Linked DNA regions of Neodiprion lecontei. The protein of the gene in region 1 binds, or shares a complex with, the protein of each later gene. Links are inferred from orthologs where the notes say so. Each region holds a gene or a part of one and is shown in the gene's direction. Other genes may lie near its edges.

What was found. Proteins that work in one complex are often made in the same cells at the same time.
Region 2: exosome complex component RRP40 (region 1) and exosome complex component MTR3 share a complex: the UniProt entries of both Homo sapiens proteins name them as parts of the RNA exosome core complex. The link is inferred for Neodiprion lecontei from reciprocal best matches to the Homo sapiens genes EXOSC3 and EXOSC6.
Region 3: exosome complex component RRP40 (region 1) and exosome complex component RRP45 share a complex: the UniProt entries of both Homo sapiens proteins name them as parts of the RNA exosome core complex. The link is inferred for Neodiprion lecontei from reciprocal best matches to the Homo sapiens genes EXOSC3 and EXOSC9.

What each region holds. Positions count from the first base shown.
Region 1 is NC_060264.1:3,210,863-3,219,204, forward strand, and holds exosome complex component RRP40, read left to right. Parts: upstream 1-2,864; 5' UTR 2,865-2,901; intron 2,902-2,957; exon of another isoform or gene 2,958-3,222; 5' UTR 3,223-3,227; coding exon 3,228-3,418; intron 3,419-3,697; coding exon 3,698-4,217; 3' UTR 4,218-5,840; downstream 5,841-8,342. Other genes in the region: lissencephaly-1 homolog, read right to left, coding at 6,287-6,360, 6,483-6,831, 6,933-7,079, 7,201-7,464, 7,648-7,854, 7,946-8,099, 8,177-8,220. UniProt on the Homo sapiens protein: Non-catalytic component of the RNA exosome complex which has 3'->5' exoribonuclease activity and participates in a multitude of cellular RNA processing and degradation events.
Region 2 is NC_060261.1:14,538,548-14,546,144, reverse strand, and holds exosome complex component MTR3, read left to right. Parts: upstream 1-3,741; 5' UTR 3,742-3,946; coding exon 3,947-4,097; intron 4,098-4,698; coding exon 4,699-4,952; intron 4,953-5,284; coding exon 5,285-5,431; intron 5,432-5,694; coding exon 5,695-5,991; 3' UTR 5,992-6,014; downstream 6,015-7,597. Other genes in the region: non-structural maintenance of chromosomes element 1 homolog, read right to left, coding at 537-652, 787-910, 986-1,102, 1,778-1,973, 2,461-2,605, 2,703-2,802; splicing factor 3B subunit 5, read right to left, coding at 6,167-6,424. UniProt on the Homo sapiens protein: Non-catalytic component of the RNA exosome complex which has 3'->5' exoribonuclease activity and participates in a multitude of cellular RNA processing and degradation events.
Region 3 is NC_060265.1:3,639,351-3,647,828, forward strand, and holds exosome complex component RRP45, read left to right. Parts: upstream 1-3,400; 5' UTR 3,401-3,695; coding exon 3,696-3,761; intron 3,762-3,971; coding exon 3,972-4,066; intron 4,067-4,132; coding exon 4,133-4,355; intron 4,356-4,473; coding exon 4,474-4,691; intron 4,692-4,773; coding exon 4,774-5,001; intron 5,002-5,107; coding exon 5,108-5,241; intron 5,242-5,417; coding exon 5,418-5,500; intron 5,501-5,693; coding exon 5,694-5,820; intron 5,821-6,071; coding exon 6,072-6,133; 3' UTR 6,134-6,895; downstream 6,896-8,478. Other genes in the region: proton-coupled amino acid transporter-like protein pathetic, read right to left, coding at 1-138, 604-821; histone deacetylase complex subunit SAP30 homolog, read right to left, coding at 7,228-7,356, 7,472-7,705, 7,821-7,991. UniProt on the Homo sapiens protein: Non-catalytic component of the RNA exosome complex which has 3'->5' exoribonuclease activity and participates in a multitude of cellular RNA processing and degradation events.

The sequences.
Region 1 (8,342 bases):
GACGCTGCGATCAACGCATCAGAAGTTACGGCCGAAAAACGAGAACCTGTATTTTTGACACTTTTCAGCAGGTGCTTTTTCCTCCGTAGTTTCTCTCCTGTTGGTCCCACGCTCTTTTCGCCGCGTTTGCTGAGTTCCTGGGGGTCCAATCGGTCGGGACAGGGTCATACAAATCAATTCCAAGACAAAAAATTTTTCGGTCAAAAAAAAAGGAAGGTTAACCCCTGTGTATTTTTGGCTAAAATTTTCGCGATTTTGAAAAGTGCTGGAATAAATTATTTCTGACACTAATCCGACGTAATTTTGCGAGAGAAATCGATTGAGCGCAGTCCCAGGACGCTGCGATCAACGCATCAGAAGTTACGGCCAAAAAAGAAAGAACCCGTATTTTTGACACTTTTCAGCGCGTGCTTTTTCCTCCGTAGTTTCTCTCCTGTTGGTCCCACGCTCTTTTTGCCGCGTTTTCTGAGTTCCTGGGGGTCCAATCGGTCGGGAAAGGGTCATACAAATCAGTTCCAAGACGAAAAATTTTTCGGTCAAAAAAAAAGGAAGGTTAACCCCTTTGTATTTTTGGCGAAAATTTTCGCGATTTTGAAAAGTGCTGGAATAAATTCTTTCTGACACTAATCCGACGTAATTTTGCGAGAGAAATCGATTGAGCGCAGTCCCAGGACGCTGCGATCAACGCATCAGAAGTTACGGCCGAAAAACGAGAACCCGTATTTTTGACACTTTTCACCGCGTGCTTTTTCCTCCGTAGTTTCTCTCCTGTTGGTCCCACGCTCTTTTCGCCGCGTTTTCTGAGTTCCTGGGGGTCCAATCGGTCGGGAAGGGGTCATACAAATCAGTTCCAAGACAAAAAATTTTTCGGTCAAAAAAAAAGGAAGGTTAACCCCTTTGTATTTTTGGCGAAAATTTTCGCGATTTTGAAAAGTGCTGGAATAAATTCTTTCTGACACTAATCCGACGTAATTTCGCGAGAGAAATCGATTGGGCGCAGTCCCAGGACGCTGCGATCAACGAATCAGAAGTTACAGCCAAAAAACGAGAACCTGTATTTTTGACACTTTTCAGCAGGTGCTTTTCCTCCGTAGTTTCTCTCCTGTTGGTCCCACGCTCTTTTCGCTGCGTTTTCTGAGTTCCTGTGGGTTCAATTGGTCGGGAAAGGGTCATACAAATCAATTCCAAGACGAAAAATTTTTCGGTCAAAAAAAAAGGAAGGTTAACCCGTTTGTATTTTTGGCGAAAATTTTCGCGATTTTGAAAAGTGCTGGAATAAATTCTTTCTGACACTAATCTGACGTAATTTTGCGAGAGAAATCGATTGAGCGCAGTCCCAGGACGCTGCGATCAACGCATCAGAAGTTACGGCCAAAAAACGAGATCCCGTATTTTTGACACTTTTCAGCGCGTGCTTTTTCCTGCGTAGTTTCTCTCCTGTTGGTCCCACGCTCTTTTCGCTGCGTTTTCTGAGTTCCTGTGGGTTCAATTGGTCGGGAAAGGGTCATACAAATCAATTCCAAGACGAAAAATTTTTCGGTCAAAAAAAAAGGAAGGCTAACCCCTTTGTATTTTTGGCGAAAATTATCGCGATTTTGAAAAGTGCAGGAATAAATTCTTTCTGACACTAATCCGACGTAATTTTGCGAGAGAAATCGATTGAGCGCAGTCCCAGGACGCTGCGATCAACGCATCAGAAGTTACAGCCAAAAAACGAGAACCTGTATTTTTGACACTTTTCAGCAGGTGCTTTTTCCTCCGTAGTTTTTCTCCTGTTGGTTCCACGCTCTTTTCGCTGCGTTTTCTGGGTTCTTGGGGGTCCAATTGGTCGGGAAAGGGTCATACAAATCAGTTCCAAGACAAAAAATTTTTCGGTCAAAAAAAAAAGGAAGGTTAACCCCTTTGTATTTTTGGCGAAAAGTTTCGCGATTTTGAAAAGTGCTGGAATAAATTCTTTCAGACACTAATCCGACGTAATTTTGCGAGAGAAATCGATTGAGCGCAGTCCCAGGACGCTGCGATTAACGCATCAGAAGTTACGGCCAAAAAAGAAAGAACCCGTATTTTTGACACTTTTCAGCAGGTGCTTTTTCCTCCGTAGTTTCTCTCCTGTTGGTCCCACGCTCTTTTCGCTGCGTTTTCTGAGTTTCTGGTGGTCCAATTGGTCGGGAAAGGGTCATACAAATCAATTCCAAGACGAAAAATTTTTCGGTAAAAAAAAAAGGAAGGTTAACCCCTTTGTATTTTTGGCGAAAATTATCGCGATTTTGAAAAGTGCTGGAATAAATTCTTTCTGACACTAATCCGACGTAATTTTGCGAGAGAAATCGATTGAGCGCAGTCCCAGGACGCTGCGATCAACGCATCAGAAGTTACAGCCAAAAAACGAGAACCTGTATTTTTGACACTTTTCAGCAGGTGCTTTTTCCTCCGTAGTTTTTCTCCTGTTGGTTCCACGCTCTTTTCGCTGCGTTTTCTGGGTTCTTGGGGGTCCAATTGGTCGGGAAAGGGTCATACAAATCAGTTCCAAGACGGAAAATTTTTCGGTCAAAAAAAAAGGAAGGTTAACCCCTTTGTATTTTTGGCGAAAAGTTTCGCGATTTTGAAAAGTGCTGGAATAAATTCTTTCTGACACTAATCCGACGTAATTTTGCGAGAGAAATCGATTGAGCGCAGTCCCAGGACGCTGCGATCAACGCATCAGAAGTTACAGCCAAAAAACGAGAACCTGTATTTTTGACACTTTTCAGCAGGTGCTTTTTCCTCCGTATTTTCTCTCCTGTTGGTCCCACGCTCTTTTCGCTGCGTTTTCTGAGTTCCTGGTGGTCCAATTGGTCGGGAAAGGGTCATACAAATCAATTCCAAGACGAAAAATTTTTCGGTCAAAAAACGAGGAAAAAAGTAAGGCTAACCCTTTTGTATATTTGATGATAATATTGCCGATTCCAACAAATGGTGAAATCAATTTTTTTGAGCACGACGTCTGTGTCATTTTGCGCGAAGAACAGATTGAGCGCAGTCCGAACAGGTTATGTTAAGCTAGTTAGGTCTGGTACGCAAGGCTCATACTCAACTCTGTCAGGCACGTTTCTACCCATAGTTTCACCGGCCACCCGTGAGATTACATTGATAGATCAGGTTAGAATAGTAAACATAGCCTCTAAATTACTCTCAAAGGCGACACAGACGAGGCTCCCACGCTTATACCATTACCTCTTGCAGTCAGAATGGAAGTAAATATTAAGGATGTTGTGGTTCCTGGCGATGTCGCGGTAGAAATAATGAAATCAAGTGAAAAAGAGCGAGTGATTCTTGGTCCTGGACTGCGTCGCGACTGCGACCGCGTCCTTGTCACCAAAGCTGGTGTACTGAAGAGGCGAAAACCAGCTATATTTTACGTGGATAGCTATCAGAAAAGGTTAATAATATGAAATGTTCTATGTATTGGTCTGTCCAACTCAGCAATAACGTAAGCTGATGCATGTTTATCATATCATTTGATCAATAAATAATATTCTTGCCTGATTCAAGGACTTTTCTTCGTTGCTGTTCCTTTTCGCTTCGATATCGATTAACTGATATTTTTAGAATAATTGTATTTCGAGCCTGTTTACCTTTTACTTATCAACATTATGCTTCTTTGCGGAAACATCTCTTTCGATATGTTCTAAATAACAATTTATTTATTTCATTACAGGTACGTCCCGAACAGAGGGGAGAATGTTGTTGGAATAGTGACGCAGAAGGCTGGGGATATTTACAGAGTTGACATCGGGGCAGGGGAACTGGCATCTCTATCCTACTTGGCTTTTGAAGGAGCAACAAAAAAGAATCGACCTGACATTGTCGTAGGTGACGTGATTTTTGCCAAGCTACTGGTGGCTAGCAAAGGCATGGAACCGGAGTTGATATGCGTCGATTCTCATGGGAAGAAGGGCAAGTTAGGTGTCTTAAGTCCAGATGGGATGCTGTTTGATTGTTCCCTTAGTTTGGCGAGGAAATTGCTTCACCCAAGTTGTCAGCTGTTGACATTGCTTGCCAAAGAACAGGCCTACGAAATCGCCATAGGTATGAATGGAAAGATCTGGATGAAGGCCAGATCAGTCCACGAGACAATAGCGGCTTGCAATGCTATTTTAGCTGCGGAAAACACCCCACCAGCAGAAATGCCAGCCTTGTGTTCGAGTATCGCCCGTAATTTACTCCGAATAAGCTAAGAAAAAGACTAATTCCACAACCCTTGGTGTACATCCAGATATTTTAAGTATTTTATGAAACATGCTTTTTTTTGCAATAAAATCTTCCTTCGATATGAGTGATAATCTACTTAGATTTATTGAAAGCAATAGAGCACACAACAGTCGGCAAAAGATAGTGAGAAAGAATACTCTGTAAGTTAGAATGTAGTTTTTGGAGACAATTTTTTATTAAAGAATATAATACTTTAATACCATCATCGTTTGAGAAGATGAAGACAAAGGACGTAAACAAGGAAAGTAGATGGGCAGGGTACAATATTGAGTGGTTACTATTTTAAAATTAATTATTATTCATCACGTCTATTTGGTTGCAAGTCGTATGTGTGTGCTCTAATTTCTACACGTATTCCAAGTGTTCCTACTCATATTATAACAGTACTATCCTACTTAGTATCCTAGTATACTTCGTTTCACACCCCATTCATTGTTAAGCTACAGAAATTATGATCTCCATACACAAGTGTAATCAATATTTTTCAATTTCACAAATTTTATTGGTAATTTGCTATTAATTTACTGTATATAGTAATATTACGTTAATAATGCACGTCAAGAAGTTTGTCCAGCATTGAAAAAAAGTTGACGTTACAAATTCCAACAAACTTTCCACCGAAATTGAGAAATTAAATCTTGGTAAGAACGCGAAGAATTTAACGTCAAAAATCATTTGAGTAACAGCAGCCAGTCCAACGTTACGCTTGACCATAGATCAAAACGTTATTGGTAAAGAATATTATTATATTACCGCAATTTTCTAATTCAAATTAGTATAATCATAACGATTTCTCATTGCTGGGCAATTAATTGTAATCAAAGTATATGTATACTGGGTTCTTAAAATTTTGTTCAATTTTTTAGTGTGATGAAATAGATAATTTGAGTACAGTAGTCACAATAGGGTATAAGGTAGATTAATGGTTAATATTCAATGTGTAGTAGAATAGTATAGCATAGCAATAGTATATTATACGTGTATGTATATAAATAAAGTAATAGCGTTACGTAAATAGTAGAGCCAGGTCAACTTCAGAACTTCTCGAGCTTAGGTTTTGGATGAAGACTTGCGTTTGGACAATAATCGATGTTCCAGAAGAAACTGTCAAGCTAATTACAGGGTGAAGGATTTTAGAAGTGTATATATGGTATAGTCATTAACGTCCGTTAATGATGATCGATCAACGATCAAGCTCTAGATAATATTTACTTATTCAACGAGGCTACTGTATCTTGCATGCAATTTATTCTATCAATTGATAACATGTTTTGCATCCGCGACAAAAATATGAAGATAGAAAATCACGTCGAACAAGCGATATGTTGTAAAGAATTTGATTCAATCTGGTATTAACTGAAGTCAAAACTGGCTCTAATAATTATCATTTCATAATTTTATCATCAAGCTCAAGAGGCCTCAACAAGAGACTCTGAAACCTTACTTCACGTTTCAAATAACTGTCAGGCGGAAACTCTTCCCGCAAAACGGACTGAAATGAATGAAATTTTTCTCAGGAGTGCATTAAGATAATCGTGGTCTGTATATCCAATAATATATTGTATCACGGCGTGATAAATTTATTCAAAGCTTGATCGCAAAAATATCGAAAGCAGTCAAAGGGCTTTACATTTCGTTACTTGACCGATAGACCTATTTATTGCGCCACTAATCTGGAACTTACAATTTAGCGAACCAATCGAGTCTGCTTGTCTCTTGAAACATTTTTTTCTTACAACAATATCATTGTACACGATAAATTTCTCTATTTTCTTATGGCATACGATACCTCTTCAGAAGCCTCTTAAAGCCGTTTGTAGCCCTTTAATTTGAATACTTTATTACTGTTAAACAATATTATTACAATTACTAATTTATTATACTTTATTATAAATTAATTAAGGATCTCTTAATCGTATATGCTTATGTGTTTTTATAATAGTATGTACGATAGCTTTTCAGCAGCTTACTTCTGTGCCATCCCCATATGGAACTGGACTTTTGTTAAGTTTCAGTAATTTCAGAAACTGGGTGACTAGCGGCATTCCCAAACCTTTACCGTCTGATCCACGCTACCGCTTACCACGTATGGATGGCTCTTGTGAAAATCTACAATACAAAAGATGATGTATATCATGCCTCCATTCTCATAGCGGCTGAAGGGCTAGCCCACTTATTGCAATATTCCCTCGAGTATTTAATTAAAAAGCGGAGAAAACCAAAAAACTCACCAACAGACGTGCAGAAGTGCATGTGTGCCTCAAGCGTCTTCATTGACCGTTTGTTGCGGGTGTCCCATACCCGCAGCGTCTTATCGTCTGATGCACTGACTATATATTTACCACCTGGGTGGAACACTATTCCACGTACCCAGTTATCATGCCCTTGGAGAGTGAATAGACATACCCCAGCCCCAACGTCCCACACGCGTATTGTCTTGTCTCGGGATCCAGATGCCAGGAAGGGTCCCTCGTGTGCCCCTTTATTGTCTGCTCCAGCTGCAGCGTTGATCGCTCCACGCGATGTTTCCGGGGCCCACGCGATACATTCCACAACATGATCGTGGTCCCTCAGTTCGACCTGTAAGGAACCAAGTATAGTTTATATCATGTTATTCATAGGATTGATTATTTACTGGATAAAAATTAATGGAGGGTACAATTAAGGAGCATTTTTAGTACCTTGGTTTCTTTAGTTGCAACGTGCCATACCCTGACAGTCTGGTCGTTTGAGCAGCTTGCAATCAGTTCGCCGCAAGGACTCACCCGTGCCATACGGACCCATTCTCTGTGCCCCGCAAGCGTTTTTACACAATAACCAGTAGCAACCTATGACCAAACAAATTGGTGATATTAAATCGTTTGTCACATACAATCCTTTCTCTAAAAGAAATATCAAGAGAAATACCATAACTGCTTTTCAGTGTGAATTTTGCACCCTACTCCTTACCTCCCACATTTTTATGGTCTTGTCCCGTGACGCGCTGACAATAAAGTCTCCTTGCGGCATGAATGCTACCGAACTAACGTTGTGGTCATGCCCGTGCATCGTCTTGATGCAGGCAAATGACTGTTGAAAGTCCCACAGCTTGATTGACATGTCAGCGCTGCAGGATACCAAGAGCTTTCCAGTAGTATCGAATGCAATATCTTGAACACTGTCCGTGTGGCCTTTGAGTGTTCGCTCAAATTCTCCGCTTTCGAAATCCCACACCTAGGGAATATTAATAATTCAAATTCTGCGGGTATACATGAGATATACACGTGGGAGTTGTACAATTGAGGAGGTTCATAATCAAATATATTTACATGTGACAATTTTACACGGTATTGTTAGCCAAGAATGATCAAGGAGATCCTACTTGCACATGCCATGTTAAATTGTATTGAAACTCACCTTTAGCGTGGCGTCTTCACTGGCAGAAACCATAAGGCTGAATACTGGGTGGAAAATTACTCTGTTTACAGGCGCCCTATGCCCAGAGAGACAGAACTTTTCAGGTGGCCTCGGAATCCATTCGGTCGGTGATCTCTTACCCCTAGTAGGCGCTCCCTCAATAAATTCTTTTTCTGCCTCTGATAGTTTCGACTCGAGTTCCATGACCTATAAATATGAAATAACATTGGTGGATTTTATCATGTAACATGTATGACCCAAGGTATCCAATTGATGTGAATGGGTATGACATGCATACCTTTTTTTGTAGTCTTATGACTGAAGTCCACTTCTTCTCGAGCAACCCACCGTATTTCCGCTCCACCTCACCAGGCATGTCAGCTTCCTTCTTGAACGCTTCCAGGGCATCTTGATATCCGTTGCTACTCAGATAGTCTGCAATCGCCTTGTTTCTGCAACGTAAATGATTTTTTATTCATTTAACAACTTATCTTGTTCCATATAAATCACAGTAAACTTTTGATCGTACCTGTAGAGCATATACTCATGCAATGAATTGGCAATTTCCACCATCTAGTCTAGTAGGTTGTTGAAAAGGACTGGGGTATTTCAAGTGAATTTTCAATCAACATTATTGAAGTGTTTTATGAGCAACATAAGCATGGAGAATCTGTAACTTTTGTCTATGTATAGCA
Region 2 (7,597 bases), on another chromosome or scaffold:
CCTATCTGAAATGGAACGAATAAAATCAGAAATTCGTCTATTTGTGTACAGTATAACATCGTATAAATTACGCCCACTCCCAATAGTGCCGCTTCCCTCACTACCATACTACACTCCGACGCTTTCCGTATTCTATCTGAACAATGCCGCTGGTGAAATACACATATCCATACTTACTTCAATGATTCGGTAGTATATACGTATATGGGACACAAAAGTGCGAAAGTTACACTTTTTGCATGTTACTATTAAGAGGGTCGAGAACGAGCGTTTGTAATCAGAGTGGGAGAACCGAGTTTCTGAGAAATGAATTCCCCTCACAGTCCGTGAGTGGCTCTGTAGAGAGGTTGCCCTGATTAGGTTTGGCATATATTTTTATTCTAAAATTAAGAAAATAACATTCTGGATACATACGTTACGAGGATTTATTACTTTTTATATTTTGTAAAGGTACATCATATACTGAACGCCGGAACCGAACTGCAGGTTCACAAGGAACAGGGTTTGATTAGACCATAGGTCTGCGGATATAATGATTACCTAGCGCTGTATTTTCTTTTTTTCGTAGGATTCGTCGTTCTTTTCTCACTATTTTCCGTCTCTACGCTCATTTCCGGAAAATCCAACACATGATCATTGTATGCATCAAAATCTGAGAATCATAGAACAAACATCAAAAGTCAGTCAAAAGACAGAATTTGAATAAATTCCTATGAATTGACAGGTCACAGTAAGACAGTTTAATTTGATTATAAGCACACGACAGGCAGATAGTTTGTTTCGTACCGTTAATGTTGTCTGTGGACATGATAGTGTTGCAGCTGGGACACTTTGGTGGATTTTGGACTCTCGCACAATTAGCAAAACAAAGCATATGTAAAACGTTGTGACAGCAAATGCAGCGTTCACCCTATTTAATAATAGATCAAAATTAGAAGATTTTGAAAATTGTAAAATATATTATTAAAAGATTCAAAGTATTCACATGGAAGACCATTTGACGGCAAAGAGCACAGGTTTTAAGAGCTTCTTCGGAGTAACTAGCTTTGAAGTACGGAATCAACTCTGCTATGCTGCGTACACCCATGTAAAATTTACCATGCTGTAAATATCCGTAAATTAGTAAACTGATATGGAACAATTGTAACTGATCCGAACAACTTTTTATTTCGGTCTCCATCCGATCAACATCCAAGCAATACTAGATATAGCTAGCATAGAATCATTAATTGTACACTTTCAAGTATTATTCAAAGCTTACAGTTATATTTATCGAAACTAATCAATATCGTAGGGCTGTTCATTAATAATTATAAGAATAGTAATGACAATAATAATAATTACTTCCAGTCCCGCAATACCGTTTCGGGTATGACCCCATAAGCGGACAGTTTGTGTGGGATGAGGGAGGGATGGGTTACTGACCATTAATTATGCCTCTGCAGCCGTCTTAAAATTTTCATTAGAAACATCTGTGTTGGCACAGAAAGCAAGGAAAACTACCGAAAACTTTGCCCAAGTGTAGCCAGACCGAGTTCAAACTTCAGCTTGTCGATTGGGCGCCTAAATGACCTGACCCATCTTACAGTTTTTGCGAGCTGTCGCTTAGGTCCTCATCGACTAGCTAGTGGTTTGAACTCGGATTACATCGTTCGATAGTCTCGCACACTACACGTGAGATATGCAGTCTACATTACATCAAAAGTTGAAAAAACATAAAAGAAACATGCATCCTGGGCAATGATTATAAAGTCATCAAATTATTTAATTCTATTACCTCTTTGACAAACCACTTTTTCTCGACCATCTTTGCCAAGAAATCTTCGGCATCTGCTTTTGACATTTGAGTGTCGAGAGAAGAGCACAAATTCAAGCACGCAGTGCTAGGAGCACAACCATCGTCCGAAGTAATTATTTCAGATAAAATCTTTCTGAGCAGTTCCAGCTGTGCAGGTGAAAATTCATTCTGGAAGCTTAATTCAAGATTTTATTAACGCAATCTTTCTTTGACCGAAGGTTAAAAGGAGCACTTGACTTTTCTATTCAATTACAAACGAATTAACTCTCACAAATCATAAAAGGGAACATTATTACCATAGTTGAAGTAAATCGGGCTACTCATTTCTAGTAATTTTGATTTGATTGTTACTTTTACGTTAGGACTGCGCGCATAAACAGAAAAGACTGACTGTATGTAAATACTCGTGCAGCAAATGTCAAATCGATGAGTGTTTTAGATCTTGAGATTTCGAAACACTAATGTGATATGCCAGAGTTCTTACTATTGGAATATGAAATTCGATTCAACGAGTCCCCTTCTCAAAATTTGCAAAGTTGTGCAGTGTCCTGCGATATAAATGACAAAACAGGCAGCCTCGACAAACTGAACATTTACAGAGACAAGTTTCCCCACGTGTTAATCAGTTTGACATGACTATGGAATGTACATATTAACAATACCTCGCAGTTTTATCAATCAACGTACTGATCAGAATCCAATACTTATGACCTGTCAATTCACAGGTTACAAGTTTTATAGTCATGTTCAAAGGTTCCAGTTTAACATTGATTTGATGTATGTATGTCTGCGTGCTTTCGTTCTGTTCTGGAAATAAACGTAAATATTGCTGTTTGACTTCGACGGAAAGTGTTTGTATGTTAAAAAGTACGACTATTTGGATCACAGCTCAGGGGTAACTTACGAAATAACTTGACAATTAGTTCTCTCGCGTCGGCAGTGCTCACAGCTCCACGTTCCATTATCACTTGTAATAGCGCACGATGGTTATTGGTATACGACATGCTGAAGTTGATTGTATGCAATTTACTGTGATTAATCTATCAATGCATGCTCTTTGAGTGACAATATGCCGGAAGCGGGAAGAAATCAAAACACCCGCAATCTCTGACTGTCCTAAAATCATGGATCACGATTGCCAATGATACCCTTCATCGTATCATTTGTATGACAGGCATGGGGGTAACAACAGCGTCCTACATTTACCAACTCGTTTGTAGGGGTTAAACCGTGATTATCGACGAGCTTGAAAATGCCGCCAGCTGGCTGTCGGGAATTTGATTACTCGAGTATATAGCGAATCGGAAATTTGGCCATTCGGAAAGATGACGATTAGAGAATTTAGTAGGTCCCTAAAAGAGTGGGTTGTTGGTGTGGCGATTTTTCTGTCAGGCTGTACCCCGTGAAGGATGTATGCACCAAGTGTGTTTTCCGAACACGACCGTGGTTCCGATATTAGCTCCCGATGATATCAACAATCAGTTATCTCTCTTGCGCTGCCTAGTTCATGAGTAGCTCTGCCTCTGTCCGAAGGAATTTTACCGCTAGTAGCTAATTTCGGAACGCACTCCAAATATCGCGATTCGCAAAAACGAGTAAGAACGTCCAGAATGATTCAAATGCTCCACTATTTACGGCTTAAAGTTCCATAAACAACGTTCGTAAAATACTCACCTATAATTTCTGATTTCGCAGCGTATTCACGTTTCTTTTTTGCAAATAATAAAGCGATATTTGTGATTCTACCATTATGATAAGAAATTATTACGCACCATAACCTCATGAACTTGCTGTCACAACAACAAAACTGTCTCACTCGCACTTTATGCGAGAGATACAAAGACGCAGCTAAATCGTACTGCGCATGCGTGACTCGTCATCTCGGTTATTCTTCGCAGCGAACTGCTCACTTTTCGCTGAAAATTGATCCCACTTTTGGAATCGGAGTTCGGTGTGGTTCGGTGGAGTTCAGTCTCCTTCCCTCTTACTTCGTGCTTTTCGGAAAGACTATGCGGTACCACTTGTGAGACAAAAAAACTTCTATATGTAAGAACATCAATTGATGTGAGGGTATACCTCTGTTGACGTATGTAAGCGCATGTGCGTTTGTTATTTAAAACTATAAGTTGTCTCTGATTTAAAAACAAAATGCCTTTTGATCAGAAACGTATAAATGGTCCAGAGGTTTCCGTACCGTATAGCGTCTACACTGACGTTAATAAATCGAAATCAAGTAAACCAAAAAAATCACTGCATAAAAGAGTTGATGGTCGAGAGCATAAGGATCTCAGAAAAATTTGTAAGTAAGGTTATGACTCCTGTTATATTTTGTTGTCTTCTCTCAAAACTGGATAAATATATGGACCTACAAACCTAGAAAAGGACCTACAGCCTTTAGCATAAGTACAAAAAACAGAAAAACAGTTGAGTAAATATGTTATAGTAAAGCGCAACGGATGTTTATTTATAGTTGCATTTATGCATTATAACTAGATACTATCGTTTACGATTTCTTTAATGTTTTTACACAATTTGCGAATATCTGTACAGCAAGCAAAATAACCCATAAAACATTAAAATCTTATCAAAAACACAAAAGTTTAATCATTTTAAACATTCTAATTATGAAACCCTTTTACAGATCATTGATATCTTAACTTGCAGTACCAATTCCATAGTGTCATATCACCGATCATCTGTACAAAGGGCCTTAATTCAAAACTTGCGCAATACACAGCATAATTCAATTGTCCAACTCTGCGTCAAATTGATCTCAGGCTTTCTGAGTGGTTAAATCGTTAAGTCTATATGGAAAGTCTATTAAACTGAATGCGAATTGGAGAATAAAATGATTAATTAAAATATAGCACGATCTGATATTCTTGATTTTTGAATGGCAGTTGTCAAAACTGGTGTTATCAGCCAAGCAAAAGGATCAGCCTACATAGAGGTTGGAATTACAAAAGTGGTATGTTCAGTATTTGACCCGAGGGAAATTCCAAACAAGAATGAATACAGTTTACAAGGTGAACTCTTTTGCGAGTTTAAATACGCCCCATTTGCCTGTGCAAAGAGACGAATACACCAGCAAGATGCGGAGGAAAAGGAATTCAGTCTCGTTATGCAACGATCACTAGAACCAGCTGTTTGCAGGGTATTTATTATTTACCATTAACGAGACGAGTATCAGCTACTTTTGTAAATTAGAAAAAATAGTTTCAGTATGTAAATATTCAGGAATGTAAATATTAATTAACAACCTCTATATATGAAATGGACAAAGGAAATCAATGATTTTTATAAAATTTTGGGCTCCATAAAATACGTTCAAATTATTAAGCGTACCAAAATAGGCAAATGAATACTATGCTAAAAAAATTTTTCTTCAAAGACATTTCAGTTTTATTTTCACAACTGTTTTAATTCATAAAGTGTTAGCAATTCAACTCTGTATTTGTTAGTTGATGCACAATTCACCTTTCACAGCAAGAGTTCCCAAATTTTCAAGTCGACGTGTATGCTCTGGTCCTCGACAACGGTGGCTCCTCTTTAGCAGCAGCCATAATGTGTGCCAGTCTTGCATTAGCAGATGCAAGTGTCCCCATGTTTGGTCTGGTTACTGCAGTTTCCGCAGTAAGTGAAGTAAAGGCAGTAGATGCTCGTGAAACCTCCACAGGCCAACTCAATTTGAAATATCTTCGTAAAATCTTTCACAATAGAAACATCTTCATTCATAATGAACTATTGTCAAACTGCATTCTTCACATGGATATGAGTCTCTTGAAAATTTCAATTATAGTGTTACAGAAGTGCAGATAGACGGAAAACTGTAATAAAAATAACAGCTGTTGAGATATTTATGTTCCTTAAACTGTTAACGAACTTCTCATTTTCAGGGGTTCTATAAAGATACAATGTTTTTGGATCTGACAGTGGAGGAAGAGGTACTTTGTAATTCTGCACCAGCAAAGCCAAACCCACCCAATAACCATGGACTGATCATGCAAGCTGCTTTACCGCAACATGACCAGATTTCAGAGTTTTTTCTCGTTGGAAGCATTAACATAGATTGCATAAAACAAGCTATCGAAACCCTCACTGTAGCTAATAAGAATATATGTCCAGTTGTTCAGCAATGTTTAGTCAAAACTGTCCTCAGAGCTTTAAAGCGAAAGGAACAGGAAAAAAATTAAATAAAAACATGATTAGAAATGAATGAACCTTGAAATTTTCCATTGATTAGTTTGACAAGGAGAGCATGATGTACATAAAAATTTATACATTCATTTGAGTTGATAAGAATTGGTTTATTTATATTTTTAGAGTAACAGAAAAAATCAGTTCGCAGCTTATTTTTTATAGATAGGATTAATCTTCTGGTTTTTCTGGAGGTGGGCCACAAGGCTGCAGCATTTTCTCCATCAGATTAAATCTGACGCGTGCCTTGGCTTCGTTTTCAGCTAGCGCAAAAAAATTTAGAAGGTCGTAATGCCCCATGTAAGAGCTACATGAATCTCTGTGCTGATTAACCAACCATTCAAATTTCGTTGTGTCTGCATGACCTGTCCCAATGTACTTGGATTGAAGATGTTCCAGCTGACTATGGATATTGTAACGTTCCCCCATTCCTAAATTGAACAATAACAAAATGCGTGATACATAACCTCGAAATTATAGGTTAGCGCTATTAATGGGACGCAATATTCCATAAATTCATTTATCACCGTCTGTCGTATGGCCGAATGTACTCTTGCAATATGTAATGTCAGTTATACTTCACAATATTAACAATTACTAAAATAGTGAAAAATTTCACTTGATATACTTTTCTACTTACTTTTGACAACGCTCTTGATAAGTTTCTAGTACACTTCTTGGTCTCTCTTATAAATGATTAACGAGATCAGTTTTCTAATGTATGTACAAGATTAACTACTTGGTTTTCACAAAAGTTTTGTTGATGTATGTATGCAGGTCCAGATGCCGAGTCCGTATTTTTATCAGTTTTGACACAAAACTAGACAGATATTGTCGAACGTTACAAATCACGCTTCGTCTTGAAACCATAGACTTATAAAGATAGACTAAGCGCTCCTAGAAGAGGCACTGACAATCACATATAAGGGACAGAGATATATCAGGACTACTGCTCTCACTTTTCAATTGGCGTCATGGTGGAAGACAACGGAGCAGTGGAAGTGGAACAGCTGTAGATATAGGCGCATAATTTCGCCTCATTCTCCTCTATCGCCTCGATCCCAGCCCCAAATATCGTCAGAGAGAGAAGGGAGTCTCCCGGCATATTTCTGTCCTTTAAATGTTTGCTTCAAGCGGCTCATAAGACCGCTCAGTCTATCTTTATAAGTCTATGCTTAAAACTGATGATGCACAGATAGTGGTCAAGCTGACCGCATTCAACCTATCTCTCTCACTCCGGATTGATCTTTGGCATACCTGCAACCAATGCCACTTCGGTAGAAAAACTACACTAGCAACGCTAGTAGTACAGAAAATAACCCTAATGTGTACAATTACTGAAGACAAGTTTTGTCCGTCTTGTGTTGGGTGTTTGGTCAGTTCCCTGACACACGCTGCTAAAAGTGGTTCGCAAAATGTCCCTCGATTCTGCCGCCAATCTCCACCACTAGTGGCGCTAGTAGTTGTCTGAAAAGCGTGCGCGCGGTCTACGAAGGCAGCGAGGGTGTCAGAAGTTTACTAGCGCCACGTAGGGGAACTAAAAAACGGGGACAAAACGCATACAATTTTTTAGTATACGAGCAGTGGCGAGTGTCAGGGGGC
Region 3 (8,478 bases), on another chromosome or scaffold:
ATTTCGAATATCCTTCGTTTATCCTCGTTGACCTTTCCCATTATTTGCGGCCATATTATAGAGACTGGAACGAAGTAATGTATCGCGTACCCGAACATTACCGACAAGGTAATGGCTATTTTCACAGCTTGAGCAGCTCTGGAAAAGGCAAATAAACATCATATTCTTTCACAGGTTTCGCGCGTTACGCGCGTGTATCTGAGTAAAGGAAAGCGTAAGAACTCCCGATACGTTGATAAAATCTACCGTGATGGAAAATGATTTACACTCCAACAATAATGGTAGTCTAATGTAACCGGTAGGCATGGCCGTTTGTGCATCCAAATATACGGTATGTGTATATTCGGCTCATTGGAGGAAGATCGGATGAGAAGGAAAGGGGAATCCCTTGCAGAATTGCAAGAATTTCATTACGAACCGCGACGCAGGAAAACAATGTTATACACTGTACATACATTGAACGGCTGGGTAAAGATGAAAAACAATCGACCGCAGGTATCAGTTATAAAGGAATTACAAATAGTCTTTTAAGAAGACGCGAAGATCGTGTCAGGCTGTCCTACCTGAAACTCGTGGTAAACAATTTATGACATTATAACTCACGGTTCGTCCAGAGGCAAGTTTTTAATGACGGTGTCGCAGGGATTGATGTACTTGTTGTATCCAAATAATCCGAATAGCAGGTATATAGTCGAGCTAAAAGTCATGGATATCGCTAGTATGGTCGGCAGGTGATCGGGCGTTTTCATGGAATTCTCCAAAGGCATAAGGAGGCACATGTTGTGAAGCGCGAACAGGAATATGGTGCAGTAAACAGGCATGGCTACGAAGTTTGTATACGCGGTCAGACGCGAGGGACTCTTCATGTCTTTGAAGAAATAGTAGAGAGTGACGAAGAAGCCCGCTATCAAAAACAGGCTACCAACCACCGACATCGGGGTCAGGTACTGCAGGTTTGGGACCAGGGAGACCAAGCAATAGAACGGCGCGGACAACAATATGTATATTCTGACGTCCCAGACTATCGTGGAGAAGTATTCGATTACCTGAAAAGGTGAAAATCGTGTTCTTAGTGATAGTAACTGTTGACCTGTTCGATAATCAGTGCCATGATCAGACATTCGATACGCGTACTTCGATGACGCTCGACCTGACATTGCCTTATCTGTATTTGCATTTAATTGAAGAGTTCTCTGCTCACCTGTTGAAACGAGGTTGCTACGTACAGAATGTATATTATGACGGTCTGGTATTCCGCGAAACAAGCCATGACGTTTGTTACGGCTTTAAACGTCCTTCCGTACTTCCTCAAAAATTCCGGTCCGTATTCAAACGACGAGCTGGCCACTTCTCCCAAGTCCAAAGAAGGCACTCGAACACGCTTGCAAAGAATTTGGGCGCATCGTACCTGAGAATGATTGTGATTAGTTTACGAGAATAATTATTATCCAGAATCGGTTCGTTTCGCAATCCCGACTTCTCCGTAGTATCATATTAGTTTTCAATCATTCTTTGGAATTATTCACTTACGGTTGTTATCGCCGTGTACATTGTGACGAATCCCGTCAGGATGGAACAAGCCGCTCCCGAAATAGTACCGGTCTCTTTGAAGGCCCGCGGCAGGAAAAGAAGACCACTGCCGATTGTAGATTTGAATAGATGCATGAAAACGGCTGCATCTCTGTAATCAGATCTCCTCCTAGATCGAGATTACAGCTTTGGGGGACGAGAAATTTTTCAATTTTGCCATCATTAGTTTCACAATAATAATTATCTTTCGTGCTGCTGCAATAAATATTTCAGACTTACACGCGCGGTGTCTTCGAAGCGTGTAACAAGCCATGCAAACGTTTGTGTCTTATACCCTGGAGAAAATTTCTACAACTACGAATTTTTACGCAAGTCGGAACATTTCGTATCATTTCTCGACGAATTGTTAATTTTCGTTAACAATTGTAGTAGCTTGTAAATTCTTTTATTGAAAGAAATACAAATTTTCATGGTAAAATTGACGAGTTTTCTTGAGAACCTATGCACATGTACAATTTTGTAGGAATACAATTTTTTGCACAAAATTGTACGAAATTTCCGAACATCCCTAACAATTTGAAGAAAAACGTTATAGAAATCATTTTCACCAGCGTAGCGTATGCACATTACGGGCTACAGGAAGTACAACGTACTCACGAATTTAAATTTTCCTGGGATCGATGTAAAAAAGGATCATATTCGTCCTCTTCGACTTGTGCTGATCTACCCTCTGACTCTCCGTGCTTTAAACCTCCCGAAGGCTTAGCTGGTTTTTCAATACGCTCGCTCATTGTCAGTTGACTAATCTATCTGGCTAGATATTCATTCGCGATATTTGTCGGTATAGAATAATTTCAGCAAATACCCACATTTGTATCATAGAATTGATTGTAAAGTATTTAAACAATTTTAAAAGGTTATATACATCACCCGATGTCAAGTGTCCCATATGTTTGTCAGAAGCAAAAAAAGCATTCTACGTACCAAACAATTGATGGGTGACAACACACACCTGGAAAAACTGGAAATGCCAGGGTATTTTAAAAGGGATCATTAAAAAACCTAGAATTTTCAGGGGATTTTTAATTTGGTCATGGAAAATACTGAAAATATCAGTTTTCCATCATGGGAATAAGAAATGATTTTTTGAGGTAACAAGTTTTACTTTTTTTCGTCGAGATAACAAATTGGCTTAAATTCCCTTTTTTGTAGATCATATTTTTCTTCAATTCGAATTGAATTTAAACCGAATAATAATAATAAATAAACCTGGATAATCTCGAAGAGAAAACCTAATCGTGAAACAGTTGTCATAAATAAAACGCTGGTGGAAACGTTTGTTGCACCCAACGTATAACCTCGGAGCCTCGGTAGCGCAGTAGGCAGCGCGTAAGTCTCATAATCTTAAGGTCGTGAGTTCGATCCTCACCCGGGGCATTATTTTTTTACTCTTCCAAAAGCAGTAATTGACAATGAAACACCTCCATTCTGTGAGCTATTCTACATTCCATCATTTTTTATTTGGTGTATTGCGAATGGATTCTCGATGTCAATTAACGCCAGGTAATGTCAAGTTCATCACGTCTGCCTTTCAGACCGGACGCTGATCGACATCAAGCATCCAAGTGTTTCTTGGTATTGAGCAAAAAAATTCTTTCTCTGAGGTTGCATCCGTTGTTATTTTATAAAAATATTGATATCCTAGTTTTATTTTAGTTGAGTTTAGTTAAGAATCGTCTTCACGATGCAATCTGAGGTACGCGAATCCTACGCATGTAAATTCAACTCCTGCTCAAGCGTTGGCAATAAAAATAAGAGACTGGTTATAAATCAATCGAATGCAATTTTTTCTTTCATCTAATCGTGAGTGCGTTGACTGAAGATATACCATTCCTCTTTGGTTCAACCCTTATATTCGGGGGGCAATATTATCGCTCTGCACTTGCCGCCCCGTTTTACAGAATCCCAGTGTAAAATCACGTCTGTGAAACAGAATACTGTAATTTCCTCCGACCTACTAACCGTGGAGTAAAGTCCATACGGTTCGCATTCTTTATTGGTTTGAATTTCGAACGAGTCGAAGATAAGATACGATTTGTTGTTATACATTTACAAAGAAATTAAAATAAATTGTGTGAAAGCGTTCGCAAATAAATTTATACAGAATGAGGGAAACGCCGTTATCAAATTGTGAACGAAATTTTATAAATAGAGCAATAGCCGAAGACACGGTAAGTCAGAATTGTACTATTCATAACCTCTTGTTACAGCACGTTTTTTTTTCTACTTATTGTTGGTCTTGACTTTATAAAGTGTACGTATTTCAAACCTATATCAATATTGATTCTACCCGTATATCCTCCACGGTTAGAACAAAATTATTGCTACGTTAACTAGTTTCTAACCTATCATTAATGGGTTTTCCTAATTATCTTATTCAGCGTTTAGATGGACGACAATTATTGGAAGCTCGACCAGTGGAAATCCATTTTGGAGCAAACTGGGGCTGTTGTCACGTAGCTTTGGGTGAAACTAAGTAAGGCGTTACATCTTATGTTACTGCTTAAAAATTCATATTTGTCACTGGCTGTACATTTTTCAGAGCAATTGCCCAAGTATCCTGTGATATTCAGCAGCCAAAGGCATCGCGTCCAAATGAAGGCATGCTTCATATCAACGTTGAGTTCAATCCTATAGCTGCCCCACACTTTGAAGCAGGCAGACAATCTGAACTTGCAATGCAAGTCAACAGGCAGTTGGAAAAATGCTTTAAAGATTCTAGATGCGTCGACTTGGAGTCTCTCTGCATTGTAGCAGATGAGAAGGTGATTTTAATGCGGCCGAATTAACTCGAAAAGAATATTTTTGCATCAATTGCTTTGCGCTAAGTTCTTTGATTAGTGCAATGTGAGAATGCTGCATAGTTAGTAATGATTTACGTAGGTATGGAACCTGCGGGTAGATGTCAACATTCTCAATCACGACGGCAACCTTGTCGATTGCGCTTCAATCGCTATACTAGCTGCACTGACACATTTTCACAGACCGGATGTCACTACCACTGGTGATTCAATAACTATCCATTCGTTTGCCGAGAAAGATCCGCTCCCGCTAACGTTACATCACTATCCAGTATGCGTTTCGTTTATTGTCTTTGAAAGGTGAAGAGAGAATTTGTTAATTTACAATCAAATAGTCATTTCTCAGTTTACTTCAAGCTAAAAGCATTTTAATCTTTTTCAGTGGCCAAATCGTTATGGATCCTACTTACATGGAAGAGAGAGTAGGTGCATCGCAATTAACCCTAGGATTAAACTCTTACAGAGAGCTCTGCAGCTTGCAGCTCTGCTATTTGGGCAAGACATCTGTGACGGCTGATGTGGTGCCGAGCATTTCGCCCCATGCAGCTAATTATGCTAACAAATTAGTTACGCAGATTAGAAAAGCAGCACAGCAAGATGTTGAAGCAAAGTAGGTTGGCTTCATTTCAAGAGTTCAAAAGCGTTTCTGCATCCGGAATGTAAATCTTGGTAAGAACTTGTACCGGCCAACAATTGTAATATTTATACAATTTCAGGTACAACAAAGAAGATCGCGATGTATGTCGATTGAAGGAATGCATTACATTCGGAAAATTGACGGCAATGACAAAACCTAAGCTCAGTATTAAACTTGCGCACTGGGTTGCTGGGAAAAGCAGCCCCAAAAGTGGTGAGATTAGTGGCCTAGTTTGCATTAATGATGTTTACTATAGCTTGGCAATCAAAATTCATAAGAGATCAGTGGTTGGAGTAAATATCAAAAATTCCCACTCTTTGAAAATTTGTAATATCGCATTTGCTGTTATTTATATTATAATTTGGGGTTTTGTAAAATTTCGTTTTCAGATATGGAGACCAGTGATTTCCAAGATGAGGATGACAATATTAAAACACTTGGGCATGGATCTGCTGAGCTCATTACTAATATGGTACACATTTTCTTGTATTCGTTGTCAATGACAAAATTAGCATACTTCAATCTTAGTTATTCAAACGAGTTGACCTGATATAAATATTTAGTTTAAAGTGCTGAACTTAAATTTTTACCAAGTTCAATCATCTAATTTCGCACTGTATAATTTTCGTGACTCGAAACTATTCGTGTTATTACTTTTGTAACAGAGTAAATCAGTCGGAGAGGGAGGCCCCAATACTTGGCAGGCATCTGAAGAATCCTCTGATGATGAAATCGAAGATATTGAAATCTTACAGGAAACGAAACTAGAGAAAAAAGTGTTGGACGATATAGGTAACCTTTTCTGTTATTTGCCAAATTTAAAATACCCAATAACTTTTCTAGATTTAGTTTGGAATATACTCAAAAGCTTTCCAGGTCGAGCATTTTATACGATTACATTCAGTGACTTCATTTTTTTCCCCTAATAACGATAAAACTTTTTTGTCAAGTACTTTAGACAAGTTCAGTTTCGGAAATTTTACACAGCATACGTAACTACTTATTAATAATTCATAAACACTTCAAAAGCAATACTTTTACAGATTTAGGTGGTGACAGCGAAGAGGAAGATACTGTAACCGTCAGCAAAAATGATATCATGTAGTTTAATAGAAAAATGATCCCAAACATTTCTTGCATTCATTTCCACACGACAATTTCTCTCATTCCCCGTTTCAAAACATGCATTTATAAATTTATCAGAGTACAAAGCTTGTGATGATACATCAATTAAAATTATGAAGAATTTGTGATGTGAACTGTTTGCTCTGTACACCATTTTTATTCTATATTTTATTTCACAATCAGCGAACTTAAATTGTGTAAAGACATACCGAAAATGAAGAACTTTTTGCGAAAGGGAGTGAAAAAGCAACACGATTTTTTTATATAAAAATGTATCTGGGTCGAATAAGGTACACCATAAATCTTATCTGCAAATATTTTTAGGTACTATGTAGGGGAGCGGCGGGCAAAATGGGTCCCCTAAGGGGAAATAACATTAGAACAGTTTCGATAGCGCTATTTTTTTCGTCTTTAGCCTAAGCCTACATTTCAAGCGTTATCGAAAATTTTTTAAATCTCATTTGAATGTACAGAGAGCCCATTTGGCTGCCTCTCCTCTATAAAGTTCATCCGTATTCCCATCTAAATTCAATATCACCAAACATTTTCCCTTAATTCGTCGATACTATTGCACTTCGCGTTAGTTGATTTATTCCCTGAGAGAATTTACACTGAATTGTTCAAGTAAATCGAATTGATGTTTGAAAAAAAAGGCAGAAGCACGATATTCCGTTGTGAACAACGATTTTGAAAAGTAAACCATTTTTTTTAGTTCCATATATGGATACGTTCAATTCATGTATAATTTACAAAAAAATTAATTTCGAAATCAGCTCAATTGTATAGAATTAAAGTGGATAAATTATTATTCCGTATAACGAATTTTTTTTACTTAGTTTGAAAAGTGGATATTTATATTCTTAGAAATAAATTAAAAATACATTGATATATAATATAATAATCTCAATCATAAGAATTGAGGGAAAATAAATATCACATTTAGATTTAAATATTTTCATAATGTTTCTAGGGCTATCAATCTATCTTAGTTTTGTGTCGAAAGCAATCTATTCGATATACCTTGCCATACGATTTCCAATGTAAGTGTAGAGGACACCGAGTGACAAGTCCATGTTACGTAGGTTCACTGGTCAATCCATTCTTCTGATCTAACTTATTAGCATTAGTCTTAACAGTGAATATGAAGAATGTGAGAGCTTCTTTTTCCACGACAGGAATTGTCTTGAAATGTTTCATGAGCGTCTGTAACATTGCAAAGCAAAATAAGCATTAGTTGACATTCGTAGTCTTTCTCCGCATCCATCTATAGCTGGTTGTATGATTTTTCAAGATGATAAATAATGGAAATTCAATTTACATCTGCTAGTTGAGCTTTGTTCAGTCCAGGTCGTGTTGAGATTTTGTAGTGACGTTTGTAACGGCGCAAAGTTCCGACTTGAAGCTGAAAAAGGTCAGCTTCTGGCAGATCGTTATCAGTTTCACCCGAATCCTCTTCGGACTCCTTTCGCCTGCGTTGCTGCTGTTGCTGCTGCTTGGACCTGGCGCAGAGTATAACTTGCTTATGATATTCGCAGATGTATATGTGACGGGCCTGAAACAAACAAGAAGCACTGTGAAATTGCCCATGAGAACAATATTTCCTTTACACATCGAAAACCTTTCGAAGGTAGCAACTTTTGCTTCGATACAAATGTTTGAGAACGTACCATGTGATCAAGATTGAGCTTGAGACGTTTCTGAGTGACGGTTTTCTGTATTCTCTTACTGTACGAGGCGTTGCTGGTAGGACGAGTACATCTCTCTCCCTCGTCCACCAGGCAACAAATTTGATCCGCGGCTCCCCTCGAGTCTTCTTCCCCGGTGCTAAAGCCGTTCATGATGAGCGGTGAAATTTACCACACAATTAACAGACGTATCAGAGATGGTTCAAATCCACATGAGTTTGGTGCCAGATGCGGTGCTATCTGTTTCAGCCGGACATTTTATCCGATGCCGATTGACGCAACGTGTGACTTGACTTTTATCAAACAATTACCGCTAGGTAATTACAAAATATTTTAAATGATTGTTAGGTCTTTTATGCGAACTGGTTAAACAGATGACGGTCCGGTCCCTGTCTTCTGGCATTAGAATAGCAGTGAAAGAACATCTTGCGAACTGCACAGAATTATCGTCGGGAGGTCGAATAGCGACAGGTTGATAATCCGGCGCAAAACTACGTTTCGAACAATATTTTATACGCTTTTTTAACTATAACCTCGACAACGTAATTGGAAAGTTGAACACGAATTGTTTACAGATGAGGCTACGTCGCGGTAGTGAATTACCAAACTGGGAACGAGAGTTTCTTGGAAATAAAAATTT